5 linked regions of the Rattus norvegicus genome follow. The protein of the gene in region 1 interacts with the protein of each later gene in a pairwise test. Links are inferred from orthologs where the notes say so. Each region holds a gene or a part of one and is shown in the gene's direction. Other genes may lie near its edges.

Region 1 (4,262 bases):
ATTGATTGATCGACCCTTCCCCACACCTTATGGGGAGCTGAGCTAGGCTGGGTAGGTGTGAAGCTACTGAGTAATGCATGTTGCTGTTCTTAATCCCAATAGGAAGTGGGTAGTGCTTTGTCTCTTCCATGAAAGAAAACGCGAGGCCTGGCACAGTTCTCGGAAGTAGAACATTCATTCAACATGTGGGCCAGAATTTGATCCTCAGCATGAAGTAGCATCCCCCACCACCACCCCCACTCCCACCACCACCACAGCACTCCCCCACCTTAAAAAAGAAAAAAGAAAGAAAAAGAAAAAAAAATCATTATTTCCCAGGTCACTCACCCTTATAGACTTTTCAATTTCCTTTCCCGTCCTGGGTGTGCAGGATCACCCAATCATGAACACAACAGGATCAGCCAGAGTGAGAAGGGTTGCCAGGGCCACTCTGGAGACAGGGAATCCTTGGAGCTCTCAAGGTTCAACAGGAGGAGGAGGGACAGACTGGAACAGTCACAAGTAGGGCTACTAGGGATTGGGTAGCATGGGAGGTGAATTAAAAGAGGCCCGGGGGGGGGGGGTTGGGGATTTAGCTCAGTGGTAGAGCGCTTGCCTAGCAACTGCAAGGCCCTGGGTTCGGTCCCCAGCTCAAAAAAAAAAAAAAAAAGAGAGAGAGAGAGAGACCCTGGGGGCCGCAGAGCAGGAGGGAAACCTGGGAAAGAGGGTGGTGGAGCTGTAGAGGCCCTGGTGGTGTGGGCCCTTCCTAGCCATTACTCACCCTTTGTGTCTGCCCCTTTTGTGTCCTTATCTGGAGGATAGGACAATACTTGCTTCTTGATCTGAGGTCTATGGACCACAGACACATCTCCAAGATATCAGAAAGCATTCTAACCCAGCTCACGACACACACAGATGGTCATGCCCTCATACCCCTTGGTTCCCTTTGGCTCTCCAGCTGTCATGCTGTGGTCTAGCATGCTGTCATGGCTGGCTTCTCCAGGATAGACTGTATCTGAATGTCCTCAGCTCAAGGAACCTGAGTTGTGGCAGAAGCTCAGGCTGGGGTATGTTCTTTAAGTTCACAGGTCTCATGCAACCCTCACCCCCTCAAGCCCCACCAGTTTCTTCTTTGTCTCCAACTCATGCCCTGCCCGATTTCCTTGATACCATGCCTAGATCTAGTCCTGTTAGCATCTAGAGGGTGGACACCTGCTCAGGGAGGCGGCGGTCATGAATGTCAAGTCTTTCAGGGGGACGCTTTCTCCTTTGGCAGGAGGGACCAGCCAGTGTAAGGGAGTTTGTTTTTGTTTGCATGTAGAAGAGCCATTGCTTTACTCTCTACTCTGTTCTAGCAACCTGCCCACCATCTTTGAAATCTCCCTCCACTGCTCCCCTCCCCTTCCTTTAGCTCCAAGACTCACACCTCAAGGGGACAAGGCTTCAGTTGATACCTGTGTGCTCCCCATCTAATAGGGTATTCTGTGTAACTGTGGCTAGGTCTTGTCAAGGGGTTGTTTAGCTGACAGGCTTTCACCGAGTGTGAACACATAGCATGGTCTTATCCTGTAGATAAAAGAACAAACAGGGGCTAGAAGGGCCTTCAGGGTGGAGCTAGGTTAGTCCATCTCCAATCAGTGCCGGGTGTGGCTGCTCTCCTGCCCATCATAAGGAAGTAGGTGTGACTGGCTTTCTGGGAAAAGTTCCTCCTACCTCTCCCAGCAGTAAGTGTCTACAAGTAGGCCACAGTTGGCTCTGCCACTAAGCCTGCCATGGTGTCTTTGGACAAGGCTCACCTGGGTCCTAAGTATGTGGGCCTCTGGGACTTCAAAGCACGAACGGACGAGGAGCTGAGCTTTCAGGCAGGAGACCTCCTCCATGTTACCAGGAAGGAGGAACAGTGGTGGTGGGCCACCCTGCTGGATGCGGAAGGCAAGGCCTTGGCTGAGGGCTACGTGCCCCACAACTACCTGGCTGAGAAGGAAACTGTGGAGTCTGAACCGTGAGTGGCCCTGGGGAGTTGGCACAGAGGGAGGGGTGGGTGTCCGTGGGCACTGGAATGGACTGGGGAGGCCAGAGGGTGTAAGATCCTACTTGACATTCAGCTGGTCATACTCTGATCCTTAACATTCTGGTACACAGTGTTGCTGATGGGGCTATGCTTCTGAGCAACACTTGGGGACAGGGTCTCTATTTTGGACTCACCTATGATCACTTCCCAGCCATAAGTACTGCTCTGCTAGGACCCAGATGGGTCCAGAGGGGCCTGATGTGGAATTTTAAGATGTTGTCTGTGAGGGACAAGATCTGTGTGGGAATTCAAGAGCTGTTGGGGGTGTGAAGTTTGCTCATTTTCCAAACAGCCAAAACCAGATGTGCAACTTAGTTAACTAGGGAGAAAGAAGGCTGCTGGGGCACACCTATTTATATCACCTGGCAGGGGGCATATGTTGCAAACACCACAGTGGTAAGTGTTTACATGTTCTCTGAGGCACCCTAGTCCACTGTTCTTGGCCTCCCACATATCTGAGCCCTTGGAGGCTTTGAGGAACTACAATAGTGACTAGTATGGGCATGTTCACAGGCACCCAAGGACCCAAGCTACGTAGGTTGCTCTGGGCTAAGGCTATGAAGGGTCCAGCAGCAGCGGTTTCTTACTGTTTTGCTCTTGAGACCCCCCCAATGCCTCATCTCACAGTGAGTACCTATGGTGCTCAATGAAGATTGTGAACACACAAACAAGAAACGAATACTAAATAGTACCTAGGACAGTTCCAGAGACAGAGACTCAAGACAGAAGTGAGGTAGGCATGGGTGGTGCGCATAAAAGAATGAGGAGAGCCAGGTGCCTTGAACACTCGGGAGGTAAAGGCAGGTGTTTATCACTAAATTCCAGGGCAGCCTGGTGTGTGTGTGAGTGTGTGTGTGTGTGTGTGTGTGTGTGTGAGAGAGAGAGAGAGAGAGAGAGAGAGAGATCAGACAGATAGAGACAGAGAGAGAGAGACAGAGACAGAGACAGAGACAGAGACAGAGACAAAGACCATGTGGCCAATATAGCAAGGGCAAAGGCCCTGAGGTCCTGAGAATCTAGCACAGGCAAACATGTCAGAGGAGGGGAGGGGCAAAGCAGAGGAGGCAAAGTGGTCAGAGGGGAGAGTGGGGCAGATTCTGTACTCTGCAGGACCCGAGCAGGTGGGCTTCAAGGGCTTGAGCTAGATGTTAAACTCTTTTTTTAAAAAAAAGATTTACTTATTTATTATATATAAGTACACTGTAGCTGTCTTCAGACACACCCGAAAAGGGCATCAGATCCCATTACAGATGGTTGTGAGCCACCATGTGGTTGCTGGGAATTGAACTCAGGACATCTGAAAGAGCAGTCAGTGCTCTTAACCACTGAGCCATCTCTCCAGCCCTAGATGTTAAACTCTTACGTGGAGCCTATGATCTGACAGCTCTTGAGGGAGTTGGAGACTCCGAGGGCAGAGATCACCCATGGAATTCCAAGGACTTTCACCTGTAGTTCAGTTCAGGCATATCTCCATCCCTTTGGTTGGAAGCCAGTATGATAAAATGGCTTTGAATGGGAGAGTATGAGCATGGGGGCTACCGTGTCTGTGCATGTACATAAGGGCGTGCTTATCAGAGTGTATGCAAGCTCGGGTTAGTATGAGAATGTGAGTGCACGGATGGGTACACACACAAGTGTGCAACATGAGGACATGGTCAGTGCAATGTGAGTGCACAGTTGTGTGTGGAAAATATCTATCAAACATGCACTTGTATTTCAGTGCATGTCTGTGCACACAAGTGCACATGTGCAAATGGCTATGTGGTTATATGCACATGTATGTGAAAATATGAGGCAGGAGGCAGGACCAGGGAGCTGCTGTTGAGACTTGTCTCCTGCTTCTGGGCCAAGGCTGGTATCTATAGCTTAGGGCCTACAATGTGTTAAGGGACATTCACAACATAGAATTGCTTTTAAAGGGGAGGGGACTCTGATCCCCAGGTGGTCATCATGCAGAGCAGGGTGGAAGGCAGTGTTTGCCTGTCCCACTTCTGAGCCTCCGGGACCTTTCCTGGTGTCCAGAAGCAGACATTTAGGACTCTCAGGATCCATGATGGGCAGAGAGGCCTCTGTAGGGTTGGGAGCAGCACAAGAGGCAGCTTAGCTGGAGTTGGGAGTGTGAGACGGGAACCAGAGGTTATCTAGGACTCCAGGTAGGCAGGGCAAGGGTAAGTAACAGAGACAGGATGGGTGTGGAGCTGGGGTAGAGATC
Region 2 (3,510 bases), on another chromosome or scaffold:
CCCATTTATTTCACCTTACATTCTGGGCAGGTCTAGTGGTAACATATTCTTATCTGTGTGTCTGTCTCTGTCTGTCTGTCCACCTGCCTGCCTATGTTTTAAACTTAGGAACATTGTACACTGTAGCCGTCTTCAGACATACAGAAGGCACCAGATCCCATTACAGATGGCTGTGAGCCACCATGTGGTTGTCCAGAATTGAACTCAGGACCTCTGGAAGAACAACCAGTGTTCCTAACCACTGAGCCATCTCTCCAGCCCTTCTTAGATCTAGAAACATTTCAATTTCTCCCTTGCTTTTGAATGCTGATGTTGCTGGCTATAGGATTCTTTGCCTTTTTTTTTAATTTTTATTTATTTTTTTTCTTTTTCTTTTTTTTCGGAGCTGGGGACCGAACCCAGGGCCTTGCACTTGCTAGGCAAGCGCTCTACCACTGAGCTAAATCCCCAACCCCTTATTTATTTATTTATTTATTTTTATTTAGTACTTTGAACTGATTGGCATTGGCTTCTAGTGTGATAAGAAACCTGCTAATAATCTTAGGGGACTCCGTGGCCTCATCTTTCACTGCCTTCACAAGTCTTTGTCCTTCAGAAGTTTGAAGGTGCTGGGATTGCAGGCGAGCACATTGCCTAACATGCATAGTCACTAGTTTTGATTGGACCGTCTACTTCAGTAACCTATACAGTTGTAATATAATGATGCTTCTTCTGAGAAAATGTAATATGCTTGTTACAGTGTATACAGGTTTTCTCTTTTCATTGAATGTTGCTTTATGTGATTTTTTTTAATAGAACATAGCTTCTCATCTAAGTTTACCTACTATGTTAAGTACAATTTCATTAAATATTTAAATAAATAATTTTGAGTATTACACATAATGCATAGTTACTCCAGAATTGTTTATATATGCATTTCCTTGCAAATTTATTTTATTTTTAATTTCTGTTTAAAATTTTGAGACAGGGCTTGCTATGCAACCAAGACTGGCCTTGAATTTGTTATGTTGCCTCAATCTTCAAGTGATCAGAGAATAAAATTATGAGGTTAAAGCTCTGAGTGTGTGTAACACTGTTGATTTTACCAAAACAGCTGCCAGCTGTCTTCTTAAATGGTTAATCTATTAACATTTTCCACCGTAATGAAAGTGCAAATTTCAGTTTACTTTCTTTTTGCTACATTGAGCTCTGTAATTAAAATATATTTCTCTGCTTCTTAGATTAAAAAATAATAACTTGCTGCATGTCATATCTTTAATTCCACCAGCACTGGCAAGGCAAAGGCAGGAGGATCTCTGTGAGTTTAAGGTCAACCTGGTTGTCATAACAAGTTTCAGACCAGTCAAGGCTGCATAGCGATATGCTATCCCCCTCATCCTCACCTCTTCTCCCCATCCCGAAGAAAGAGAACTTGTCTTTGTTAATAAAACTGTACATGTGCTTTGGTTTTGGCTTGAGATGTTTGTTGGTTGGTTGGTTGGTTTTGTTTTTTAACAAATTACCTTTTTATGTCCTTTCCTCATTTTCTATTTGGCTCATCCTACTAGTCAGTAATGCTGTTCTAATATTTTAGCATCCTACTTTTCTTTAAACAATTGGCTTTATTTATTGAAGATTTTTAAACAACGACAACAAAAGCCCTTTTAAAATATGTTTATTCTATAAACCAGGAGCCTTTTGTGGCCGATGAATACATTGAACGTCTCGTGTGGAGAACCCCGGGAGGTGGTTCTAGGGGTGGACCTGAAGCTTTTGATCCTAAAAGGTAAACTTAACAAAACAAAACAAAACAAAACAAAACAGTCTCCATATAGTACTACGAATTGTGTTTAGAGTAGAGATGACTGTATTGGAATTCTTTTGAGTATTCATATAAAATAATTTTAATTAATAGTTTGTTTCCCACCTCAAAAATTTCTTGAGCTGGAGAAATGGCTCAGTGGTTAAGAGCACTGGCTGCTCTTCCAGAGGTCCTGAGTTCAATTCCCAGCAACCACGTGGTGGCTCACAACCATCTGTAATGGGATCTGATGCCCTCTTCTGGTGTGTCTGAAGACAGCGACAGTGTACTCATATATAATAAATAAATAAATAAATCTTTTAAATAAAGTTTCTTAACAGCATTAGAAGTCTGAAATAGTGTTTTTCCTTAGCTGATTGGGTAAAAGGATTTTATCCTTTATTAAGAATTTAATTTTTCCACTTAGCATTAAATTAGAAAAGGCTGGTTATACTTGTGGGTATGGTATTGACCACCTGCGATCTAAGTACTCTAGAGGCTGAGGCTGGGTTGTGAGTTGGAGGTTAGCCTAGAATACATAGCAAAACCCTGATCCTGAATAAGCAAATTAATAATAAGAAAAAGTTGACTATGTTCTTTTAAATTTAATAGCTGTAAATCAGGGAAACAGTCAATAAAGTCTATAATGTATACAATTTTTGTTGTACGTTTGTCTTCTTGAATTTTAAATAAAGTAGAGCTTGTTTGGATATTTAATGGGGATTTGTTCAGGTTTTTATTTACCTTAGAGATAATCCGTTGCAAAGTCAATAACAACTGGCTGTTTTTCCTAATGCTATGTATTGTTAAAGTCACGTGACCTGTTCTAAGTGGAAAGAAAGCTATGACATTAAATAAATTGCAACAAGATGCTGTAAAGAAAGTGAATACACTTGTCCCTGTCTCAGAGGACCCTTACTAAAACCTTCATAAAACTGGTCTGTTCCTTATGGCTAATAATAGGCAAATTGATTGTACTATTACTTTCCTCTGTTAGGTTATTAGAAGAATTTGTGAATCATATTCAAGAACTACAGATAATGGATGAAAGGATTCAAAGGAAAGTAGAGAAGTTAGAACAGCAGTGTCAGAAGGAGGCAAAGGAGTTTGCTAAGAAGGTACAAGAGCTGCAGAAAAGCAACCAGGTACACTTAGCTCAGAAATGAGCGGCTATGAACTGTAACATCTTCATTCTCTTACACACAGTTTCTTCAACCCTTTTACCTTAGGTCTTTGAAGAGCCAAGTCAAATTGTATTAACGTCTAACTTTGTTCCTGTGGAATAAGATATTAATGTTTGTTTGTGACTGCCTAGCATTGTCGTTGGTGTGCTACTAGATGGGTTCTAACCCAGTGCTGCCCTGTTCAGGTTAGGGCGGTAGATGCTTAGAAGTGACCCTTGCTTCCCACCTCTTAATTGAGTAAGCTTTCACAAGACTGACTAGTCCCTAGCCCTGCATTTTGAGAACTACCTTACTAGTATGGATATTTAAGGAGTCATTTTAATATAATTTAATCATAAATAAGACCAACCTGGAACAAGTTATTCCCGAGAGCAGTAGTTCTTAACCTTCCTAATGCTGGGACCTTTTAAGACTGTTTCTCATGGTGTGCTCACCTCCAACCATTAAATTGTTTCGTTGCTACTTCATTGCTGTAATGTTGCTATTGTTAAGACTCATAGTGTAAATATTTGATATTTAGGATATCTGATACATGATCCCCCCAAG
Region 3 (4,113 bases), on another chromosome or scaffold:
TCTCTAGACCCCTTTCAGTATGTATAACCACTAATTGGATTGATGCACAGTATATAAGTATCTAGCATATGGGAGGGTAGGGTAAACCCTGCCTCCTGAAGCTTCCTCCTGGTTAGATTTGAATTTTCTCCTCAGCTTAGGCACAGCTATGAGGTATGTTACATCAACTACAGAAGCAAAATCTGGTTATCTCTGGGCCCTTGTTGCTCAGTGTTTTTGGGAGCTGGAGTGAGTTATCTACTGGATATGAAACATGATAACTTTTCAAAATGTCACACAAAGTCAACATAATATCCCAAGTTCATCTAAAATAAACCATTACAGGAACACTGTGGATAGAATAAGAGAAGTTAGGAAACGTCCAGTAGGTTTTATATACCCGGAAAGTTACCCAGTTGAACAGGTAGAAGAATTGACAAGGGAATGTTAGGGGAAAGACAACCTCAAAGTGAGAAAAGACTCCTTTCATTTGAAGTATTTAAGGTACAATTCAGGGGTCCCATCTGTAAGGGGAGGAAACATTTTTTCCTCCTTTCTTGGTGATCCTTGGGGGCAAAATGCTCATTTGAATAAAGGTAGGGGAGATATAAAATATTTTAGCAACATTCCCAAGGCAGGGAAAGAGACTCAATCAGGTTTAAAATATGAGAACATCAGAGTGACAGAAGTTAGACACCATCTAGCTTCTTTCATTCACAATCCTCCCCGCTAAGTTTACACAGTGAGCAAATTTTCCACCACAGGGATGGGTGGATCCCTAGAACTAATTCTGTATTACGGTGATGTACACTGGAAGCGTTTTGCTCTAGTATAGAATCCAGGCACTTCTTCATTTGTACATCAGTGGACATCCTTCTGCCTCATGATGTAGGTCATGGGAAACACAGCCCACATTTTGCCTCGGATTTCCAACCCTGCCCATGAGCCTGCGATCCGCCAGGGGAGAGACACCTGTGCTGTGGGGACCCTGGTGAAGTGCTCACTTCTGTGTTCCTGGAGCGCAATTTCTCCCTCTCTCACCATCCTGCCTGCCTAACAGTCAGCCCCTACTCCACAGCACTGGCCAGGCCTGAGAACCGGGACCGCAAAGGCGGCCTGGAGAGTGCTCCTGCACTTCGTACACCCCTCCCCTCCGCAGCAGCCTCCTGCCACTCAGGCGACTCGACGTGAGGCCCCGGCCAATGATAGTCCACCGCCTCCGCGGGCGCCCCGCCCCCGGACCCCGCTTCCAATAGGAGGCTGGCGGGGGCGGGCCGCGCGGGCATCCTCTCCAGCTGAGGCCGCGGCCGGAGCCAGGCTGGGGCGCGGGAGAGGCAGGTACCAGCGCGGTCTGCGCAGCCCGAGGCGCTAGAGCTGCGCTCACCGCAGGAAGGACGGTTCCTGGGGGAACCAGGGACCGAGGCGTCCGAGCAGGCGGGATTTGCGCCTGGCCGGCCACGGTCCGAAGTCCGCGCTATGGGAGAAGAGAAATACTTGCCTGAGCTGATGGCAGAGAAGGATAGCCTTGATCCATCTTTTGTGCACGCGTCGCGCCTTCTGGCGGAAGGTAGGACCGGCCCCGGCGACCGCCAGCCCCGACAGGGCGAAGTTGGGGAGGGCGAGCGCTCCGCTGGGTAGAAACTGTCTCTGAGAGCTGCTTCCGAATGCTGGAGCGCAGCGCTGCTGGCCAGGCTCTTCCGAGGCTCAATTAGCCCTGAGGTCTAATGGCAGGGTGGTGCGACCTGTTAGGGTCCTGGACAGGGAAACCAGCAAGTGTCAGGTGGCTCATCGGTACCTTTTCACTTTGCAGAAGACAGCAAAAGCAGTACAGGAGTAAATGAGATCCGTGGAGTGTTCTGAGAGCATCTTGGTCACAGATCAGCGTTATTTATTTATTGTATTTTTTTCCTTCTATGTTTCGAAGTGATTTTAATACCCTTTAATTGCTATTTCCCCCTGGAAAGTCTTAGAATTAATCAACAGTAAAGTATGCATGTTCGTATATTTATGTGAGCATGGTAAGCAGAGGCTAAAGTGCTTATAAACGTATTCGAAACGTGATGGCTGGGTAGTATGCAAGATATTGGTTCCTCGGAACGCTCCATAATTGACCAACTGGTTTTTAAACCAGGTGTGCGTTTTCTTTTGTGTACCTGTGTTGTAGCGGAGATTCGTTTCCCAGAGGAACATCTATGTCTTGCCTTTTGCATTGCTTTGAGAGGTCGTTTGAGAAAAGGTGCACATGAAAACTTCTCCATCAGAAATATTAACCCCAATTATTCCATCTATGTGAAGCAATGGTAGCAAGTGAAGTCATCTCTGGTACCTGGTACCCTGCACTCTCCAATTTAACACGACTGCTGAATTTTTGGATGAACGTTTCGTTAGTGATGAAGTGCTTCCTCCTCAGACTGGCTACCCTGCAGCTTAGGATCTTGAGGTCTTACCCACTAGAAGAATCAGTGACATCTTTCTCTCTTCCAGCTCCTCAGCATTAAAATACATTTGAGATTTAGTTGTGCATCTTAGGAAAAAATTTACTCCTCAGATGATTCAGAGACATTAGATTTACTTTGGCATTTTTAGCGGTTGCTATTTATTATAACCCGTAATAACAAAGTATCTCGTGAAAGACTGCCAGGAAAAATGTGGAAGATTCTAAATACTCACACTGTTTTCACGGGGAGAAGCTGGCTTTGTAGTTAGGCAGTGAAATGCAACCCTGCATACCACAACCTAATAATCAAATGATAATAAATGAAACTGAAAAACTAAAGTCATGAACGACGCTCTTCTCTGCCGTTGGAGAACAACGGCTGCATATCGGAAGATATTGACTCAATAAACATGGACAGATTAAAACTGTATTCTTTGATTGTTTGCTTCACTCCGTTCTTCAGAAGTGTTTCCATTCAATGAGCAATGAAAACAGATTCATAATCTTCTCTGACCTGATAACCGGAGCTCTCTTTGGGACAGAGGGTTCAATAATTGGCCCATCGGTTATTAATGTGTATTAATTGTACTTTTAAAACTTACAGAACTAAAAGATGTAGATAAAAGCCTTACTAGAGTGAGGTGTGGTGCATATTCTTGACCAGTGAAACAGTTAAGAGACCACTAAGTATCTGCTTTCCTGCTGTTTCTTTCTTTCCCAAACACAAGGTTGCTTGAGACTTAGGAAAATTGTTCTAATGCACCTTGTAATTTAATTTTTTCCCAGCAGGGGGAAGCATGGCCTGCTTTTGTAATGGGTTATTTTAAAAAAGCTCCTGGCTAGAAAAGCATCTCACTAAGAAACAAAGAGGGTGCCTAAATTTCAGAGAATTCCTAATGAGAAAAGAGAACAAGAGGAGGAAAGAGGTGGCGGCGGTAATCCTAGAGTAGTCAGATAGTTCCATAAAAAGACGTCCAGGGCCCACATCAGTTCTGTAACTCTACCCGCCTCTTTACACATGCTCACTAGAGTGAAAGGTGAGTGTGCTTTGGAGTCTCAGCGAATCATAATGCACGTGTTGCATTATAGATTTTTTTCCATTGTCTTCTCAAAGGCTATTTGTGAAGGTTTCTAGGATCACCGTAGAGATTTTATTTCTCATACCTGGAAACGTTGCATTCGAAGGCATTGTCTATAAATAAACTTGACACACATACTCCAAGGGAAGGAAGGTGCACACTGGAGTGCACGTCAGCAGTGCTGTGCAGACAGTCTTGAGACTGAGGTGGGCAATAAAAATGATCCAGATGATTCCATTCTTTGGGATGAGTTTCTAGAAGCACTGAGCTCTCACAGTGCCTTACTTTGCCTTCTCCTTAGTGACAGACACAAACCTCTCCTCACTTGTGCCTGCTTCATTTAGTGTGCAAGGCTGTGGGCTGCAAATGACCTCTTTTGGTTGTTTTTATTGTATTTCAGTCCATTTGTTTCTGGTTTGTGTTTTCAGTAGGGGTCATATTTAAAAAAATTAAAAACAAATAATTTGTGATTTTGACTGTTAGTCATGGCAGATCTTGAATAATATGGGTTAAAGGTTTTGCATAATGCATTTGATTAAAATAACTTCCATACTGTAGTTACAGTTTTATGTAGTTAGCCGTTTGTTACGGAAGACGTTTCTGAATCTGCTAACGGAG
Region 4 (4,250 bases), on another chromosome or scaffold:
CTGATGCTGAGGCCACAGAGGGGTGCTTCTTACTGGCTTGTTCCCTATGGCTCGTTGGGACTGCTTTCTTATAGGCTGAAGCATCAAGTCTTGAGTTCTAGGCCAGCACCTGCCGTAAGAACCAGCCAATGGCAGATGAGAGTGATTACAGGTCAAAGCCCTTTCCATTCGACTCTGATGGCTTCACTTCAGCTCCTGGAACTTTCACCCACTCCATCCGTGTACATGGCAAAGGTGTGTGAGCACACACTTATGGGGGGAGGGGAGGGAGATGCTGTTGTTACCATTCTCAAAACCCAGATGCCAAAGGTGACTAGAGGTCTGAGTGTTACGAGGGCTCTTGGGGCAGAAAAAGGACATGTGGAAAATGGAAACGGCGTGGGTTCATAAATGGAGAGCAGGCTCTCTTACCTCGAGGCAACTGGGTGTGGGAGCCCATCCAAGTGTTTAATCTTTATTGTTCGAATTGATGAGAAAGATGATTACTTGATTGATTGGTAGTGTGCACATCCCACAGGTGAGAGAATACTTTTCAGGACTTCCTCATCAAATCCAGGCTTTGCCACACACATCTTTGCCTGCTGAGCCCTCTCGTCGGCCCCGAAGCTGGTGTTCAGATGTGCGTGATTGCCATTGGAACCTAGCGTCATTTGGGGCAGAGCTGCAGTTCAAGTAAGAAGTGGGGGCAGTCTCAGGCTGGGTTAGACCTGGATTTGATCCCCAGCCACAGGGAAATGTCCAAACTGGGGTGTCATGATCCAAAGCTGCAGGGGCCTGTACCTAAGATGAAGGCACATGGCTTTCCGGTTGTCCCGAGCCCAGTGGTCCCACATTCTTGGATGTGCTTCTTGGGCAGGGGACCAGGTGGCTCAGGTATCCTGAGGATCATGCTGCCGCCTTGTGTCCCTGAACGGGAGACTGAAACAGAGCCCAGGTCAGGGAGTCGTTAAGTCTCTCAAAGTTGTCATATGGGAGAGGAGTATGTGGCTCTTGCTTAGCACTGGGGCAGCCTGGCTTCATCACCAGCACACACAGGCTGAATAAATAAATGGCCTGTCATATGAATGTATGGACCAGAGTGGCTTTCTGACCTCCAAAGCAACTCCTAGCCCTGTTCCTTGGTGCCTTTGTTTGTAAAATGAGGCTCAATATTAAATGTCATCTCACTCACAGCCTGGGAGGAGTTCTCCAAAGAGCCATATATGCAGTAGGTACTCAGTAAAAGCTATTCCCTCCTTCCCACCCTCCCTCCTGCAAGAATGACAGGTGCAGAAAGCAAGGAGCGTCTCCTGTCGCTTTAAAATATGCAAATAGCCTGCGGGTGAGTGTCCAGGCTCAGCCAACCAGTGCAGGGTTTATGAAGCACCGCGGGGCGGAACTCCTCCTGGCCACACCCGTGGGCGGGGCCAGCGGCGCGCTCCGCAGCTCAAGGGGAGGGCGGGGCGCGCGTCTGGAGCGCGCAGGTGGCGGCCGCGAGAGGCGGTGAGTGTCCCTGGCGCGGAGTGCGGGTGCGGGGCGATGGTGCGGGGTGCGGGGCGGGGGTGCGGGGCGGGGGTGCGGGGCGGGGGCATAGCTCTATCCTGACCCGGCCCGAGCGTAGGTGCCGCCTTCAGAAGGCGGGGCGCTGCTCCATTGCATCCCTCAATCCCGGGCTGGGAGGGTGAGACCCCCCCAGGACTCCCAAATCTCTCTTCCTGGTCTCCAGCCTGCAGATCCCTAGTTCTAAGCTGGGGTCCGCCTCCCTCGCTGCCCCCCATCCACACCAGGGAACCGGGGTCCCCTTCCTCCAATTGCACCCACCCTGGGGTTGGTAGGCAGGTGGGGGCTCTGCCGGGCGAGTGTGGTAGGGCTACAGGGTATCTGGAGTATGGAGCGCGGGATCCCCTCCCTGGTGAGCGGGGCCTGGAGAGGCCTGGAGCCCGCACCAGGGACTCCCGCACCCTGTTGGGGGGCGGCTGGCATCTGCTTCAAGGAACAGAATTAGACTAGGTGAATGAGGGTCAGGGTGCAGAGAAGGTCGGGGTGCCGCCCCTCCACTTGCCCTCAGCATCGCGGGACCTTTCATGGTGACCTTGGGCAGGTGACAGCACCTCCTTGACCCTTAGTCTCCTCTTCCGAATGTAGAGGTTGAGGAAGCCAAACTGTCTCAGATTCCCAATACCTGTGCCCCATTTTTCCAGGTGGGGACCACAATCTTCGGTCAAATGTTAGGGTAGACTCCGTTTTCCTAGTTGAGCCTGGTGTGGTCATTCCAGTCCTCCGGTGGCTGAGGCTGGAAGGTCTGCAGCTTGAGGCCAGCCTGGGCTACATAGACAGACTCTGCCTCATAAAAAAAAAAAAAAGCATAAACCAAAACAAACCATGATTTTGATTGATGGGTACAGTCTAGTCTGGGGCAGAGCAGAGGGATCTAAGGCCAGGAGAGGACAATTTTCATCTGACCATAAGACGGACCTGCCTCCAATCAAGACCCACACTTTGTCACCCTAGTCCCACCCGTGTGACTGCCCAGGTCACACCCTGACCCACATACCATCACCTACAACAGGGTTCCTGGGCTGGTTTCTGGGCGGGGTCCCAGGCTTAGTCCTTGCCTCTGGCAGGATAGTAGGGTAAGTTCCAGGCAGGAAGCCTGACACCCCCAAATTTGTGTGCTCAGACTGGACTGACTGAGCCTTCTGTGAAATGGGCCGAAACCCTGTGGGAAGATCAGAGGTGGTTGTGGAAGTGAGGACACGCTGTAAACACCCACTCCTGTGGTAGTAATTATGATATTGCATCCATTAAATGGGGTCACAGCCAAGGAGGCAGTGGGATGTCTTTAAAGGGTGTGACCAGAGTCACCAGCCCACGGACTGGGTACACAGTGGTGCTCAAAGTATGTTTGACAAATGAAATGACTCAGCCGAAGGCTTGCACAGAGGCCTCAGTTTCCCCATGGAATCCTGCTGGGGTTCGGGGGGCAGTGAAAATCACACAACAAGGGGTCAATGGTTGTGGGCACAGCCAGCCTGTATCCAACCCCCAGAGTGCAGCTCTGGTCTGGTCTTGCCTGATTCAGTTCCCTGGTGCTGTTCACACAGTCAAGCCTTAGGTTTTGGGGACTCATTGTCAAGGGATGGGGTGCTTGCTGTGTGCCTCTGGGTAAGTGTCTGTCCCTAGACCTTATTCTAGTATTGCAGAAGCCAGAAAGCCCTGGGTTACATTAGGTAAACTGTCTTAGGCCAAAATATTTCAGAGGCCTATAGTGGTGTTTTAATGTCCTTCCATATCACACAGGTTAAAACAAACCAAACCAAACCCCAAGAACGTGGTACTGAGAGATGCCTTGGAGTACTTAATATTTATGTACCAAACAAAGCCAAGCATGGTGGTGCACACCTGTCACCCCAGCGCCCAGAGGAGGAGGCAGGAGAATCAAACATTTGAGGTCATCCTCTGCTACATAGAGAATTTCTAGGCCAGCCTGGGCTACATGAGGCCATGTCTAAAAACATACTTTAATCTGTTGATCCTAAAGAAGTTGTAAAGAATATTTGAGTTTCCCCTTCTGAGGCTTCACCTGTCTCCAAGCCTCAGTTTCCCCTCATGGGCATACAGACCCAGCTCGGGCCAAGGTAGAGGATCTGTGGGTGTCTAAGTGTCTCTCTGGTAAGAGTCACGTCGCCCCCGGCCTGCTCCCTCACCTCCCCCATCTGTGTGTTGTGCTGTGACTGTGGGGAGGTCCCAGGGGTGCTGGGCGGGGAGGTGACGGTTGGGTGGCAGGCAGGGCGGGCCGGGCTTCCTGTCCTCCCCCAGACAGAGGCCTCCAGTTAATGCTGGCGGAAGTGTTAGGGGTTACCTCCGGGTGCCTACCCCAGCCCTCAAGGCCACAACTCCTCAGTGCCCATCGGTGAGTTTGCCCCAATCTTTGTCTCCCGGAATGGAAAGGGATCCCAGAGCTGTGGTTCCCGGTCTGGGGCCAACGGTCTCAGTCCCTGTCACTTCCTGGCCAGGTGGCAGCATCTGGGCCTATCCTTGGTGCCACCTCTGGCCACTCTCTAGTCGACCCTGACCTGGGTACAGGTTGTGGCCTGTCAGGGCCTGCTGGGTGGAGTTCCGGGCAGCCAGGCGGGCAATTGTGGCTCCAATAACTGTGTCTGGCTGGGTGGGGTAGGGGACAACTTGAAGTGTGCCCCCTCAGAGGGCTTCTATGTAGGGGATGGTGGCAGGGTGCTGTCTAACAGGAGCTTTGGGGACATTGATGGCTT
Region 5 (4,308 bases), on another chromosome or scaffold:
GCAGCTGTCAAAATAAAAACCTAAAGAGGAATAGTGACGTTGCTAAGCCCCCAACCCTCACTCTTTGAGGATTAAACACAGTGTAAGAGCCACCCCAAAACCACACAAACTAAGGCATCTGTCGCCATGCACAAACGAGGCTGCTTTCCTTCTGAACCTCCTGGGAAGAGGGTCCCGAGCAAGCGAGACCCTACAGAGAAGGGGTGTTGCTGTGGCCATGGGAACCAGCCTGGGAACAGAAATGAATAGGCTAGGGTATCTGGAGGAGGGTGTAACGACCAAGCACCGGGTTAGAAGTATATGGCTAGCATCTGCAGACATCTGTTATTTCTCCAGTCCATGTCTGCTAGGCAAAACCAAGCTCCAGAGTGAGCATTTTGTCTCAGCTCCTAGAGTGGCCCTGATTCCTAATCATATGATGGAGGGAACTAAAGCCCAGAGAGGTTAATACTTTATCTACAGCCACACAGCTATGGGTGAGTTGCTCCAAAACCCACACCACCTGTGTTTCCTACCTTATCCAACCCTGCCACTCAGCAGGAGGGGAAAGAAATGGAGATGATGGGGAAGCCAGGTTCTAAGGGGAAAAGGGAAGCCTAGCTGGGGTCTCTAAGATGGAGAGGCACTGTCCTGGGACTTGTACAGATGGATTGCCCCTGGAACTGGGAGGAAAAGAGCCTGACTTTGAATCACATGTCTACTTGAGCCCTCATGTTTCCCACTTCATCCAGCTGACCTCTGCCAGCAATGTACACAATGTGGTCACAGCCATGCATGCAGACAATACACAGAAAAATGTTAGCGATTCTTAGTGTGTCACCAACAATGTATGTTTCAGTCCTTTACCCATTCTCTCCCCCATAGTTCTACCGCCCTCCAAGAAGAAACCATTCCTTGAGTTTTTTAATGTTTATTTGGTGTGTTGTATGCCTGTGAGCATGTTCATGGTGGGCGAGGGGGAAGTTGCGTGCATATGGTGGTCGTAGACGTCTACTCTTGTGCACGTGGAAGCCAGAGGTTGATGATGTCAGGTCTCTTTCTCAGTCTCAGGCCAGAGGTGGGTTCTCTCACTTCTCCTGGACCTCACCCACTGGCTAGGCTGGCGGGTGAGTTCAGGATGCACCAACCACCGTTTCCCAGTGATGACTACAGCCCTGCTTTTTACATGGGTGCTAGGGATCTGAACTCAGGTCCCCATGCTTACAAGGCAGGCACTTTAATGGCTGAGCCCAAGGAGGCTAGGTGACTACCTATAGAACTTCCCTGCATCATCTCTGAGGATAGTGATCGGTCTTCTGTGCTGTGGTAAGAACGAGGGACTGGGCACACAGTGTGGTGATCCAGTCACATTCACTAAGGACAGGATAGCAGGGACTGGTCACCAGTCAGTGCAGGGGAAAGAGAAGAGGGCTTCTGACTCCACCCTGCTGCACTGCATCCGTGTGACCGATTCTGGCCTGTGATGTCATACAGTGTTGCCTAGGTGATCCAGCTAAATGGAGAACTCTGTACTTTCCCAAGACTGGGCAGAGCAAGGTTCACCCCACGTGACCCTCCTGTGGCTGCCAGGAGTCAGTTCCCTAACCCCCTGCTCAGCTGATCATGGCCTAAATACTCCAAGGCACCTCCACCCACGGGATCTCTCACTTCTGAGAAGGATTCATATTGTATCCGCCCACTCAACTTCCCCTACCCAGTCCAGCCCCCAAAAGCAGTGTGTGGCACCCCTGAGACCACACTGATGGGTAAAGACTCAAGGTATCTGGGCATGCTGGCTGTCGAGGCCCATGACTGATCCCCTGCCCGTATCCAGTGCTAATACTAACCCCAAGATTGCTAAGTGAACACTTCTTGCCCCCAAGAGGATGGGACGACAGAAGACAAAGGTGAGGCTAGGGCAGAGTCTGTAACAGCTGCGTAATCTCATCCTTGTCCTCTGACGGTGACAAGCTCGACAAGAGTGTTCCTTCTCTGGGTCTCAATCACCGCTGTGAGCCGAGAGTGGTGGTGATTAGGTGTTCTGTTCTGAGGCTCTCAGGGATGACATGCAATACCCCAAGATGGTGGTTGACTTGGCCTGCCCTGGCCTGAGAGCCCACTGATGTTGCCCATCAGCCACCATGCAATCCTTGGCTGCATGGTTGTTCCCCTGTTTTGATCACTGCTGTATCCCCTACACTTAGAACAGTGCATAGGACAGAGTACATGTTCAATAAGGAATTGTGGAAGAATGGCAAGAACCTGCCAGGAGGGTCCCAGAGCCAGGAATGCCAGCAGTTCAGTGGAAGGGCTCACATACCTCCCCCTTTCATTTGGTGGCAAAACCAAACCTGTGTCTGTGCCATTTCCCTATAAGGACAGACCGCTCCCCTGTAATATCACACATTCATATTTCTTTGATTGTGTGTGTGTGTGTGTGTGTACGGAGGCCAGAGAGGGACATCAAGTGTCTGTCACTCCCCCTCATTTTTTGAGTAAGGGCCTCTCCCTGAACCTGGAGCTCACTGACTCACTGACTGACTAGGCTGGCTGCCGGTGAGCTCAATAGCTAGGATGCCCTTGTCCATCTTCCACCCCAACTCCCAGCACTGGGAACCAGAGTGAGGCCGCCATGTGCCCGGCTTTGGTGTGGATGCTGTGAATCTGAACTCCGCCCCCTCCTCACTCCGCACAAGCCCAGTGCTGGTGCCCTGATGTCGGCTCTGAACTTCCAGGGTGTCTTAGGTTATGGGGCTGGAGGCAGGGAAAAGGAAATAAATACTTGTAGCAAAGGTGGGGTGTCAGCAGCATTTAGAGACCTCACTTCAGCTCTGCTTCCTGTCTCTGGCTGGCCCAGTGTCCCTTCCAGTGCCTCAGCTGTTCTCCTTGCTGAAGTAACTTTTCCTTTCCTTTAAGGTGTATTTAATTTTATGTGCCTTGGTGTTTTGCCTGCATGCATGTCTGTGTGATGGTGTCAGGGTCCCTGGAATAGATAGCATTCAGTGTTTTGCTCTTCTTTATTTTATTAGATTATTTTGATTACTACCATATAATATAAAATTCTGCTGTATAATAAATACAGTGTTTGGCATATAGTAGGTGCTCAATAAAGTTGTGCAGGCAAGAACTTTACCTACTGAGCCATACTGCCATACTTAGCCCCCCCATTTAGTTTCTTTGGCCACTCCTCAGCCTGTAACATTTTTATTCATGTAACATTTCTAAATTCCAGTGCTCCTAGTGCGTTAGAAATATTAATTCTGGGGGCTGGGGATTTAGCTCAGTGGTAGAGCGCTTGCCTAGGAAGCGCAAGGCCCTGGGTTCGGTCCCCAGCTCCGAAAAAAAGAACCAAAAAAAAAAAAAAAAGAAATATTAATTCTGTTTTATTTATCATCTTTTTTCTTTCGGTTTTTTTTCCTTTGCTTTCTGATACAGGGTCTCACTATGTGGCCCTAGCTGGTCTGGAACTCAGTATGTAGACCAGGCAAGCCTCAGAGTTGTGGTGCCTCCAGAGTGACAGGATTCCAGGCATGAGCCACCAGGCCTGGTTAGGTGGACGTTGTAAAGTGTCCCCTCCCTCCCTCCCTTCCCCCTCATATTGAAGATTGAATTTAAGGGCTATGCATACCAGGCAGACTTTCTACCTGAAAGCTAGCTCCCCAACCTGGTTTTTTGAAAACTGTAATCAAACCTACCAGTTATTTTCCCTGAGGTTTCTGACATTTTACATGTTTCTGTGGAGCTGAGGAATCAGCCTGGGGCCTCGTGCGTAATAAGTATGTGCTCTCCCACTGAGCTGCAGCTCAGCCCTGTGTCATCATGTGAAAAGCACTCCTGCATCAGGCTCTGGAACTTCTGCCATTATCAGTAAATCCTGAGGCTACGGGCCCTCGGGGTAAGCATAGTAACCCAGGAAATGAACCGGGTAAAGACGCATGAAAAGAGTGGAGAGGTCTCATATCCTGAGCCCTTTCCCTCAGTATGAAGGGGCCTTGCAGGCTATCCTAGTGCCCAGGCAAGGCTGGCCATCAAAGCTAGGGTAGTGAAGTACTGTTTTTGTTGGTGGTGGTGATGGTGGAGGTGGAGTGTGTACATGTGTGAGTGTTGAGGGGAGGTCACAGAGTAACTTTTGGGAACTGGTGTTCTCCTATCTTGTTCTGAAACAAGATCTCTCATTTCTGTCCATCCCTCATGCCAGGGTAGTGACCCGTAAGTTTGGGGGGGGGGGATCTTTAGCTTCCATCTTGCCTCAAGAGTGCTAAGGTTAGAGATGCATGTTCCCTCCCCTGGCTTTCTATGTAGTTTATAGGATCCATCACAAGTTAGCAG

Evidence for each region.
Region 2: the proteins of Ptk6 (region 1) and Exoc5 interact in binary tests that used the Homo sapiens proteins (3 or more experiments, as listed by UniProt). The two-hybrid records come from large-scale screens. The link is inferred for Rattus norvegicus from reciprocal best matches to the Homo sapiens genes PTK6 and EXOC5.
Region 3: the proteins of Ptk6 (region 1) and Khdrbs2 interact in binary tests that used the Homo sapiens proteins (3 or more experiments, as listed by UniProt). The two-hybrid records come from large-scale screens. The link is inferred for Rattus norvegicus from reciprocal best matches to the Homo sapiens genes PTK6 and KHDRBS2.
Region 4: the proteins of Ptk6 (region 1) and Fcho1 interact in binary tests that used the Homo sapiens proteins (3 or more experiments, as listed by UniProt). The two-hybrid records come from large-scale screens. The link is inferred for Rattus norvegicus from reciprocal best matches to the Homo sapiens genes PTK6 and FCHO1.
Region 5: the proteins of Ptk6 (region 1) and Ccdc33 interact in a two-hybrid assay, tested with the Homo sapiens proteins (2 studies listed by BioGRID and IntAct). The two-hybrid records come from large-scale screens. The link is inferred for Rattus norvegicus from reciprocal best matches to the Homo sapiens genes PTK6 and CCDC33.

The regions. Positions count from the first base shown.
Region 1 is NC_086021.1:188,690,423-188,694,684, reverse strand, and holds the start of Ptk6 (protein-tyrosine kinase 6), read left to right. Parts: upstream 1-1,460; 5' UTR 1,461-1,751; coding exon 1,752-1,981; intron 1,982-4,262. UniProt on the Homo sapiens protein: Non-receptor tyrosine-protein kinase implicated in the regulation of a variety of signaling pathways that control the differentiation and maintenance of normal epithelia, as well as tumor growth.
Region 2 is NC_086033.1:24,821,439-24,824,948, reverse strand, and holds part of Exoc5 (exocyst complex component 5), read left to right. Parts: intron 1-1,670; coding exon 1,671-1,765; intron 1,766-2,777; coding exon 2,778-2,925; intron 2,926-3,510. UniProt on the Homo sapiens protein: Component of the exocyst complex involved in the docking of exocytic vesicles with fusion sites on the plasma membrane.
Region 3 is NC_086027.1:41,941,766-41,945,878, forward strand, and holds the start of Khdrbs2 (KH domain-containing, RNA-binding, signal transduction-associated protein 2), read left to right. Parts: upstream 1-1,304; 5' UTR 1,305-1,455; coding exon 1,456-1,546; intron 1,547-4,113. UniProt on the Homo sapiens protein: RNA-binding protein that plays a role in the regulation of alternative splicing and influences mRNA splice site selection and exon inclusion. Binds both poly(A) and poly(U) homopolymers. Phosphorylation by PTK6 inhibits its RNA-binding ability.
Region 4 is NC_086034.1:18,461,896-18,466,145, reverse strand, and holds the start of Fcho1 (F-BAR domain only protein 1), read left to right. Parts: upstream 1-1,447; 5' UTR 1,448-1,482; intron 1,483-2,161; exon of another isoform or gene 2,162-2,319; intron 2,320-2,533; exon of another isoform or gene 2,534-4,250. UniProt on the Homo sapiens protein: Functions in an early step of clathrin-mediated endocytosis. Has both a membrane binding/bending activity and the ability to recruit proteins essential to the formation of functional clathrin-coated pits.
Region 5 is NC_086026.1:67,410,686-67,414,993, reverse strand, and holds the start of Ccdc33 (coiled-coil domain-containing protein 33), read left to right. Parts: upstream 1-1,508; 5' UTR 1,509-1,865; coding exon 1,866-1,886; intron 1,887-4,308.